Linked DNA regions of Danio rerio. The protein of the gene in region 2 binds, or shares a complex with, the protein of the main gene of each other region. Links are inferred from orthologs where the notes say so. Each region holds a gene or a part of one and is shown on either strand. Other genes may lie near its edges.

Region 1 (6,066 bases), on a different chromosome or scaffold from region 2:
GTGGAGTTGTGTGTGTTTCCCCCACAGTCCAAAGACAAGCGATGTAGGTGATCTGGGTAAGCTTCTAGTGTTTGAATGGGAGAGTGTGTGGTTGTTTCTCAGCAGTGAGGGTTATACTCTTAGTGCTGGGTTGCGGCTGGAAGGGCATCAACTGTGTAAAACAAAAGTCATCTGACTTTCTAAGGCTGTAATAAATTCAGGATGATCTGTTTATTATTAAAATGCTAATAATCTGAATTGATGCTGAAAGGAATAATCTAGCCGAATGAGTTCAGCAGGAAGAGAAATAACCAACGCATCAGAAAACTGATGACGTTTCTGCCAAAACCCCACCATTACTTCCATATTCAATAATTTGCTTATATTAAGCTCTTTTCACACCAAGACCAATATAAGGACCCACTGGACCAAGTCTGGCTTCCATGGGCCAAACATGAACCAAATCTGGGCCAAGTCTCAGCCAAGTTAACAACCCATATCTGGGCCTGAACTGGGTCAGATATGTTGGTGTGTCACAAGTGCAATGAATTTGATAAACCCATGAAGCATTTCGCTTTAGGTGTGCAATGGGTGTGTCAGAAAGCGACCTGATTGGTCGATTTTTTCTTTACTCAAAAATAATTTAAATGTAATTTAAAAGTGGGTCATAATACGCCAAACTTACGTGGCCCACGTTAAATTGTTTTAACATCTGATCCAAATTCTACATTTTATATCTGCCCCAAGTCTTGTGTGCTGCCTTAAAGATGGTGCCACCTCTGCCAAACCTGGGCCATGTTTGGCCCACATGCTGTATACCAGAGCCGGACGAACACCTGCTGTGCCAGCTTTATGTCAAATCTGGGCCAGAATTCTTTGCTACCAGGGGATATAACATTTGCACAAGTGGACAATAATGTTATATTTTACAAGCTTGAGTTGGCCGATTCTGATTTACTGTCAATGTTTTATTGCTCATCAGAAGGAGGGGAAATAATTTCCTGACAATTTGGAAAATGATTTGGCATTTGGATCATTTGAATGTGAAAAAACTTTCATTAATTATGTGTTTTAGTTATTCCTTTACCCAAAAATGTTGTTTTTGGGACTCTGAAAATGCAACCTTTGAAAATTTGTATCAAATAATGTTGCTGCAATGATTAGCCCTGCTGCCTCACAGCAAGAAGGTTGCTGACTCAAATCCTGGCTGAATGAGCATTTCTGTGTGGAGTGTGCATGTTCTCACTGTGTTCGCGTGAGTTTCCCTCACAGTCCAAAAACATGCGGTATAGGTGAATTGGATGAACTAAATTGGCCATAGTGTATGTGTGCGTGTGTGAATGTGAAAGTGTATGGGTGTTTCCCAGTACTGGGCTGTGGCTGGAAGAGCATCCGCTGCGTAAAACAAAAGTTGGAATAGTGGTGGTTCATTCTGCTGTGGCGAATATGAATGAATACTTCAATGATGAATCCAAAAAAACAAAACAAAATAATATCTAGGTATTTATTTGCTTTATCGCAGGTTGTGGTAAATTTACTTTTTTTTAAATTAATTTGTTGGAAAAGAAATTAAAGACATCCACTGCATTTTACTTTTTTTCTTGCTATTATGCCCTGACTATATGTAGCCTTGCTCTGCGTTTTTGCTCTAATTTATTTGACTTTTTTTGTGCACTGTGTAAATGTACCCTGCAAGTGATTTTTTATAAAACAGTTCAAACACAAACTAAAAGATTCATTGAAAGCCTTTTTAAATTTTGGCTTAACGTTTTAACTATTAGTTTTTAAAGTGTTGTTTTACTTATCGAGCTTTTACAGGTTTGTGAATACAATCTGTCTGGATGGTTTCTATGGTATGGTTAAACAGATCATGCCAGAGTTGTTAAATGGCTGCTAGATTATTTAAGCCTGGTTGCTGGTGGTTTCTAATTGTTTCCAGGGTGTTCTGGATGTTTGGTAGTTAAATTTCATTATTTTATTGTCTTTTTTTCTTTGTCACATTTTTTTCTATGCCATACCAGTGCAATAGGCTACTTCTTTAAAAATATAACTTACTTTTTATGCAAAAAGTAATATTTGCAGTTTTTTGTTTTGTACTTATTCTACTGTATTTTCATTGTAATTTCCTGTTATTGCAATAAAAATGCTTGTTAGTTGAAGTTTTTTTAGTTAGGTGTTCTGGTTGCAGATTAGCACAATTATTTTGAAAACTAGGCCAATTGTCTTCAGTTACAAACTATTTTTGTTTTCAAAAATGACTTGCTAAATATAGACAATATTATTGTGGAACTATTGATAAACTTGAGGGATGGTTTACCGGACACGGACGTAATTTTAATTTACGACAAAGTCAAATCAATGGTGTTGATTACGCCATACGGAGGTCGATTGGCCTGCTGGTGGACTGGTGTGCCATCAGTTTTGTGATGGGTTTCGAAGTGCGACACCGCTGTCTGAATGCGCTCGCTCCCGTCAGAGCCTCGTGAGCGCGCGAGGCACAGTGAGAGTAGTCAGAGCGCAGGCACGGTTTAACTCTTTGTACCGACCAGAAGCTGCACCGACCGGTGCCAAACAAATGATTTGACCTTCAGCGAACCGGAGGGTTGATCTTTACCATTCTGACACTTTCAACATACCACACGAGACCTGACCCGGATTATTAGTTCGCGTCTGGCCGTTTTCTTTAATAAACGCGTTTTTATTTGTTAGCAAAAGGTGGCCACGTCCTTGATTTTCTGGCCTCGCGGTTCGGAGAAAACCTAACACATACTGAGTGGTTTCACCCAGGAATGGATACTGGAGTTGTCACTGAAAAGAAAAGGTAGGGATTCCCGTTTTTGCTTGGAAGAAAGCGATATGTTGCGTAGTGTTTTGTGTAGTAAACGGGCCGGAATATCTTCATCTCCCGTCACACTGAACGTGTCGCCATTTTGTGCTGTATTGCTAACCAAACAACTGAGAACAGGTTTAAAGCTCTCTTTCCCCACAATTGTCTTTAAACGGACATTAAAGGTTGTTATAAACAATTCAAGAAATTATATTTGTTGCTCTGTGACGTATTATTTGTCTTTATTTGAGGTAGCATAATGTCTAACGTAAGTGTCTGCTTGTGGATAGAAGCTAACAAACTAGCAACATGCAACTTCCCCTGATTTATTGCGTATACCTCTTTAAACAGTTTATACAGTTTAGACATATTTAGTCCCTAGGGGAGTGTATTAACACACTGTTTAAATAGGAATATACAGCTTTGAGCATACATGTCAAATTAATTCTTATATTTAATGCATACAGAATACAGAAGGCTCTTTTTCCATAGTGCATTGGCCAGACAGCTGTACGTCTGTATAATAGAGGAGGAATTAAATGGCATATGCTAGTTGCCTGGCCAGTGGATATTAATTGTGTATTTTGTACCTGAATCAAATGTATCAAAACGTTTGATACAGTTTTTTTGAGAGTTATGTGAGAAATGGATTGGTTTAGTAATATGATTGATCGATTCTTTACCCCTCATACTCCTTGACCCTACATGTCAGATCAACCCGTTGCCCTTCTTCGGCCAGCCAGTCTGGCATATTTGTGGATAAAGGATTGGAAGCAGGAATCCATCCTTGGATTTTGCTGACAGTCTTCTTCTTTGTCAAGCCTGTCATCAGTGTGGGCTCAAATGAGAGCAGATGGAAATAAATGTTGTTATTACTAATGCTGGAAAACGTTGCTTGGATTTCTCTGTACGAGTGCAATTACAAAAGGGATAATACTGACATAGCCATGTTAAAGCTCAGATCTAGTGTGTCATTTTGGATTGGAAGAAAGTCAGACTCAGGTTGATGAACAGGAGGTATTATCTTGAGATTTTTCTTATTGTGTATGTTTTAATTATTTGTGCTTTGCTTCATAAAAAAAAAAAAGCTGTTAACAAAATCTTTACTAACAAATAGGGCTATGATTTTCCATGTTTGGTTTTTAGAGCCAGTTGCAAAGACTAAGATTAAAAACCTTTTTGGATGTATGTTTTCATAGTATCAATCCTGCCTTCTGAGGGGATTTACATTTATACATTTGGCAGATTTATCTATTTTCTCCCTAAGAAACATGTTCAGCTTTGAAATTTATGCATGTTAATTTTGCTAGATAACCAGTGATCTTGCTATCTTGTGATCCACTGTTTGAGATTTGGGAAAGCACTCGAATGAGCTTGTCCATATATTTTTTGTTTAAAAAGTAAAAAAAAGTTATTTTTATTATTAAAAGTTGCAGTGTACTTGTGTTAATTGACTTATAGTCTGTAAAATATTAAGTTGAAATAAGTTTTCTTGTAATTTTTGGTGAATTGTTGAGTCCAGATTTTTAACAAGCAAAAATCTTCTTGCCTTGACAGCACAGTTTTCTTGATTCGACACTGTTTTTGGGGGAATATTATCTTCTGACGCTATTTTTGTTGGCATCCAAGTTCAAGCAGCAACATGCTTTTGTATCTCTTCTCTAAAATCTTAATCACTCTCTGCATTGACGTCAAAGCAACTTCCTGCCCAGTCTTGTGGCAAGACAGCTGCAAGACTTTTGTCAGTGTAAATGCTGAAATTAGTTTAAATGTTGATAGTGGTGTTATAAACCTTGGGTTAATGGGGTGCCTATTGATTCTGTTTCTGTGTGTCACCTGTCAAGGTCTAACTTGTGATCCATAGAAATCCAATTAGTTGGACTGGAAATCATGTCTTAGAACTAACTACCATTCACACTTAAGTTTTAGTTTGCTGAGAAATATTCAACAAGGTGTTTTTAGTGGCCTTTAAATCACATAATATATCATTATGTAGTTATTATGTAGTGATGTAAGCATTAAAAAGCTTGAGACTTTAGATATGCAAGCACAGCTTTACATTGTCGAGCTGTTTTAAAATGTAATACATGTGTGTTGACAACAAAAGCTCAAATGATAAAAGAAAAAAAAAAAAATTAAATGCACCAATGCTTTAAATGTTACTAAGGGGTCATTTACATGGTTTTAACTAAAACCAAAAGGACAAAAAATTGAGTCTCTGTTTACATGCACAAAATAAGCAGAAATCTATAAAAAAATTTAAAAAATGTATTTACATTCAAATTAATACCTGTTTATCAGAAAACTGCATTTACTTGAGATTTAGGGCTGCACAATATCGTTTTAGCATCGATATTGCAATGTGCAGGTCCACAATAGTCAAATAGCAACGAGATGCAATGTTGAGCAGTATTTCGCTGTATTTGTACAGAATTTATATGATTATGCAAAAAAAAGTCTTAGTTACAATTTTTATCTTGTTTCTAGTCCAAGTATCTACATTTCAAAGTGAAAACCAGATTATTTCATTTACCAAAGTGGCAGATAATTTAGCTTGTTTTAAAGAAAATCTTTTTAATTGTGACTTGTCTGTGAAAACAAAACAATATTGTTACTTGCTTCAATTTCTGTACCTGCATACTGTTAGACTCCCCTTAAAACTATCAGATAGTGCTATTCAAACTATATTGTGAATTGGTATTCATATCGCTATATTTATAGCAAAAAAATAAAATATCGCAATATTCTTTTCCATTATTGTGCAGTGGTAATGAGATTGTGAGGCAAATTTCTCACTGAAGTGAAGTCACAGATAAATAACATCAGAAGCTCAAAAATGTCAACTGGAAATCTGTCAGAACAGAAGCTGTGCTTTGTATGTTATCACTTTTTTAAAGTTTTGATGCATTAACCACATGCGTGAGTCAATGACACAATTTCATGCTTTATTAAAAATATTTATAAAGGCTGCAAAACCAAAACTCCAAAAATAGATGTTTTGAGCACACCGGCTTTTCCTCAGACATTTTGTGTAGTGTGTGCTTGAAACATTGTACACTTTGTGATGGCCTTTTTAGTGATAAATGTATATTTTTAGAGCTTTGGTGCTGCTGCTTTTATAAATATTTTTGCACTTTTTGTTTGGCTAAGCACCGATTTAGATTTATGTGCCTGCTTTTGTGCATTTTATTAATTTTTCGACATTTTTTAATGCTTTATTAAAACAAGAAAGGGCCGTAGTGTATAAAACATTACTGCTG
Region 2 (5,512 bases):
TCGTCACGGTTAATCGTAAAGGCTTCTCAACACCGTGTTTCTGCACAGAACAAAACTGCAGCAACTGAACAAAGTGATGCCAACTGTGTGCTAATTAAAATTTCTAAACTTGTACACTAATAACCATGCACACTGGATTAACTTTGACTGAGGCTATAACTAAGGCAAGTTTGTTATTTCCAATGGAGGAATGCACTCATTTTCCAGCCGCACCTAGTTACGATGACGGGGAGCTTCTGTGACCGCGGGAAATTCAAACTGTTGAAGTTTAAGGAAGACGCAATAAAAAGTTCACAGGTTTGCAAAGCCACCTAAAGTTACAAACAATAGTGCCTATGAGAGCGATCATGTGATGAATGTTGATCCGCCAGTCGAGATCAATCGAGTGTTTTCGGAGAGAGTGCTGAAAGACTTGGTGGATTAGCTGTTTTTAATAGCCTGAATCTCAATATGTTGCATTCATTGTGTATCCAAAAATAGAGCAAGGGTGTTTCTTTGGTGGACGTGAAACAACAAACTGAGGATATGGTAATGCGTGCCTGTCAGTCAATTTTAGTGGGCGGGGGGACCGCACTCCTACGTCAAGTTGTGGTCGGTCTCAAAACCACTCCAATTGGTCCACCGTTTTTATGTTGTTAAATTGAAAAAAAAGGACTGGGTGTGTTTATATCAGCCCAATATGACGCTGCTTCTCACTCAGTGCTGTTTATGCAAATGAGGGAGAGATCCTCTCTATAAATATGGTACACTCTAAGCATTGAGTTTGTTTATAATTGACTCAACGTTCGGTGTCCACAACCCAGCATTTACCTTTATTTGCATTGCCTTTTGAGAGAAAATAAAAACGTTCTGATGTCATCAGCTTTTCCTCAAACATCTTTTTAATACTACAAAATCTTTTTAAGCATTAAAAAATGCTGGGTTTCACACAATTCATTCATGTTGTCTAAACCCAAATCCATTAAGTCAACAATGCTGTGTTCACACCAGACGAGGAACGCGCGGATAAATCGTCGCGTGAACATTTGAGTTTACTCGCTATATTCGCGCGTCAAACCCTGCTTCTTTCGCGCGTTAAATTCACTTCAGAACAGACGCGGATTCGCGTGATGGGCAGGGCTTCTGTCTGCCCGGTGACTCTAGCTTTGTTGCTAAATGGCTAACATGGATTTTATTAAGAAAATAACAGTGTTTATGTGTTTTATGAAGGCTGAAAAACAGTGTCGATATGTTTAGGGCTGTGTCTGAGTCCAATAGATTCTTTCAGAGGTGCATCCAGCTGAGCTCATAAACTCCTCCAGAAACTGAACTTGGATGACGGCTGGATGAGGCTTTCAGCGGTGCTCCTGACTGAGCCGAGCCCAGTTTGATGCACTGTTGTCGGTGTCGGCTGAAGGATTTACCTCGGGACACCAACAACAGTCAATATGTCACAATCACGCCCCCACAAGAGCAAGCTCATGATTGGTTAAAGCGGCACGAATGTCTGCTGAAGTTCAGATTTTTGAACTCGAGCGATTTGCGCAAAACGTTCAATTCGCGCTGCGTCATTCGCGCATATCGCGACATTCGTGCCGCGCAATTTGCGTCATTTGCGCGTACCGCGCCACAGGATGTCTAATTGCACGTTTAACAGTTAAATCACTCACGCTTGACGCTCCTACCGCGTCTGGTGTGAACACAGCATAACACTTTATGCGGATTGAACATAAAACATTCAAGTTGTCCCAATGAAATCTCAAGAATTGTGTTGTTACAGCTCGTTTTAAATTGTAAAAACATTTTAAAAGTTGTTTGTAAAAGCAAATAAATATTTTTTGAGAGTAGATTTTTAGAAAAAAAACTATAAAGTGTTAAAGTTAGATTTACCCAATAATAAAAAATCAACCCAATGTTGGGTTTGTCCATATTCGACTACAACCCAGCATTATTTACACATTCACAAATTACTTTTGCTGCTTGTTCAAACTACTTATTTAAAATGAGTTACGAACAATACTAATCTAACTTTGTTTCTGAATCCACTTAATTTGTAAAAAAATTACTAATTTAACTTAATAAATTTGTGTTGGGACAACATGAAGGAATTGTGTCGAACCCAGCATTTTTTACAGTGTAGATACTAGGCATGAAATAAAACTATAATGCAATCAGAGAGTAAAGAAACACATGAAGAATCTGTGAATGGTTTTACAGTATTAGTGCATTAATCACATGACTGATGGTCTCTGCCTCTGACTGAGTCTCGTGCTCCATTTTTATGACTCTCTAAGCTGTTTCAGTAACTCTCCTGCTGGTTTTCTCTGGAGATTACAATCTCAGAGGTTAATGGGATTAGACTGAAATGAAGCACGACCGGCACGTATGCAGAAGCCATTCATGACCGTCTCAGAAAACAGCATGCTTTAAAAATGCCAACAACATCTTTCAGTCAGAACTTCAGAACATTGAGCAAACATTGAGACTTTTTCAACTTTTTTTTTTTCAACATTTAAAATCTAGAGTGTGATCAAACTGGTATTTTATAAAACAATCAAGATGTTTGTTTGGTTTTCAAAATTAATTGTAAATAGGCGATGCGGTGGAGCAGCATGTAGTGCTGTCGCCTCACAGCAAGAAGGCCGCTGGTTCGAGCCTCGGCTGGGTCAGTTTGCATTTCTGTGTGGAGTTTGCAAGTTCTCCCTGCGTTCGCGTGGGTTTCCTCCACAAGTCCAAAGATGTGGTACAGGTGAATTGGGTAGGCTAAATTGTCCATAGTGTATGAGAGTGAATGAGTGTGTATTTATGTTTCCCAGTGATGGGTTGCGGCTGGAAGGTCATCCGCTGCGTAAAAACTTGCTGGATAAGTTAGCGGTTCATTCCGCTGTGGCGCCCGAAAAAAAAATAAATGAATGAATTGCAAATAAATGGTACTGTACTGATGCACAATATTGGTTTATTCTTGTGTGTGTGTGTGTGTGTGTGTGTGTGTGTGTGTGTGTGTGTGTGTGTGTGTGTATTTATTATTATTATTTATTTATTTATTTTTTGTACATTTAAAATACTATATATACAAATATTCTCTCACCGGCCACTTTATTAGGTACACCTTACCAGTACCCAGTCGGACCCCTTATTCCTTTAAAACTTCCTTAATCATTTGTGGCATAGATTCAGCAAGGTACTGGAAATATTCCTCAGAGATTTTGCTCCATATTGACATGATAGCATCACGCAGTTGCTGCAGATTTGTCGGCTGCACATCCATGATGCCAATCTCCTGTTCCACCACATCCCAAAGGTTGCTCTATTATTGGATTGAGTTCTGGTGACTGTGGAGGCCATTTGAGTACAGTGAACTTATTGTCATGTTCAAGAAACCAGTCTGAGATGATTCACGCTTTATGGTGCGTTATTCTGCTGGAAGTAGCCATCAGAAGATGGGTACACTGTGGTGGACATGGTCAGCAACAATACACCAGCCTGAACCGCTGATACAAGGCAGGATGGATTCATGCTTTCATGGTGTTGGTGCAGCAGATTGTCTTGACCATGTCTACATGCCTAAATGCATTGAGTTGCTGCCATGTGATTGGCTGATTAGAAATTCGTATTAACGAGCAGCTGGACAGGTGTACCTATTAAAGTGGCCGGTGAGTGTTACATTACTAAACAAAACTCCAGTTTTAGTCGATGCCATATACAATATTTTCCATATTTGATTCCATATATAATCAAAGCATAACATAAGAAACTTGATTTGTGTAAGTATATTATTGTATGAAATCAAAACATGAAGAGTTCTGCTGTAAAAATAATTGACCTCTGTTTTTAGACTTTTTCAGAAACCTTTTTTTTTACTTCATTGGAATGAATGAAATTGGGCAGTGGCTCAGTGGTTAGCACAGTCGCCTCACAGCAAGAAAGTCGCTGGTTCAAGTCCTGGCTGGACCAGTTGGGATTTCTGTGTGGAGTTTGCATGTTCTCCCCGTGTTGGCGTGGGTTTCCTCCTTAGTTTATTTATTAAATAAACTAAATTGTCCGTAGTGTACGAGTGTGTGTGTGTGTGTGTGAATGTGAAAGTGTATAGGTGTTTTCCAGTTCAGGGTTGCTGCTGGAAGGGCATATGTTGTGTAAAACATACACTGGATTAGTTGGTGGTTCATTCCACTGATAAATAAGGGACTAAGCTGAAGGAAAATAAATGAATGAAATTAAATAAAGACATCTGAATTTATAACACTGTTAACGTATTAATTTTTAGCATTAGTTTTAATAACTAATTTCCTTTGTCTTTTCATGATGGAAGCACATAATATTTGACTAAATATTCTTCAAGATACTAGTATTCAGCTTACAGTGACATTTAAAGGCTTAACTAGGCTAATTAGGATAATTAGGCAAACTAAATGATAATAATAGAAGAAAAAAAAACGTAAACAAATGTGTATTTTGAGAGTCCCTTTTAATAACAAAATTTTTCAGGTCGAAGCTTTGAGGATTAAATAACATCTGTGATTTCTTGCATACCTTGGCATCCCAATTCTTATTAAGATAATAAATGCACGTGACGCATCTCCCATCGCCATTCGGGTTGTCCACATGGCGCACATAACCCGTGCCTTTACCCGGATAACACGCCACCATCGCCTGCCAGAAAACACAGAAAACACTCACAGGTCAGCAGGGTTGATATTATCACTTGTGTCATGATGCGATTTTAAATATATTACAATATTCTTGGGAAATATTGTAAATGTATAACCCTTTATCCAACTTCAAAATGATGTTCCCAAAGGACGTCTGTTTTAACCCTCCTGTTGACTTTTTGCAGTGTTTAACAGCAGAAAAAAAAATAGGTAACACTTTATAATAACTACACACTATAAATCATTTATTAAGCATTAGCATCTAGTGAACTCATTATCTGTTAAGCATAAACTCTACATTAATAAGCGTTAGTAAGCAGCTTATAACTGTAGCTACAAATGCTCTATTCTTGACTTACAAACATATTTAAAATGTGTTTAATAATCGTATTTTCATACTTAGTTAATGATTTATTTTTCATTACTAAATTAAGTATTGCATTATTTACAAACCATTTGGAGTTGATGGTTTTAGGATGATTCAGAATGAGTTAGTAAATGATTAATAAACTATTGAAATCAACATTTATATATCTTATTAATCAGGCATATATTAATAGTTAACTAATATGTTAATAAATGTTTTAATAACTCAACTTCATGCAGTTTTGTGATCTAATCTAAAGTGAGGACTGTTCATGCTTTATAAATCCCTTATAAATGACAAATAAAGGCTCAGAATCAAATAAACAAAACATCTTTGCAATCTTTTCTAAAAAGTACAATTTTGATCAAGTTTAAACATTGCTGAATTACAGGAGTGTCAAAATACGACATCCAACTGGATAAAACAACAACAACAACAACAATATAGTAATTTAACAATATAATAAGATGCAATGTTTAAACTTTACAGTGATTTTATTTTAGATTAGGTTGCAAAG

Evidence for each region. The genes of interacting proteins can lie anywhere in the genome.
Region 1: the proteins of egln1a (region 2) and hif1ab are in contact, whole or in part, in a crystal structure (PDB 3HQR), measured with the Homo sapiens proteins. The link is inferred for Danio rerio from reciprocal best matches to the Homo sapiens genes EGLN1 and HIF1A. Residues at the interface, in NP_071334.1 of Homo sapiens: Gln239, Leu240, Val241, Ser242, Gln243, Lys244, Ile251, Arg252, Trp258, Lys262, Asp277, Ile280, Arg281, Ile292, Asn293, Gly294, Arg295, Thr296, Lys297, Tyr310, Val311, Arg312, His313, Val314, Asp315, Pro317, Asn318, Asp320, Arg322, Arg370; in NP_001521.1 of Homo sapiens: Leu559, Glu560, Met561, Leu562, Ala563, Pro564, Tyr565, Ile566, Pro567, Met568, Asp570, Asp571, Phe572, Gln573, Leu574.

The regions. Positions count from the first base shown.
Region 1 is NC_133195.1:22,894,181-22,900,246, reverse strand, and holds the start of hif1ab (hypoxia inducible factor 1 subunit alpha b), read left to right. Parts: upstream 1-2,380; 5' UTR 2,381-2,768; coding exon 2,769-2,800; intron 2,801-6,066.
Region 2 is NC_133188.1:53,018,070-53,023,581, reverse strand, and holds part of egln1a (egl nine homolog 1), read right to left. Parts: intron 4,630-5,512; coding exon 4,510-4,629; intron 1-4,509. UniProt on the Homo sapiens protein: Cellular oxygen sensor that catalyzes, under normoxic conditions, the post-translational formation of 4-hydroxyproline in hypoxia-inducible factor (HIF) alpha proteins.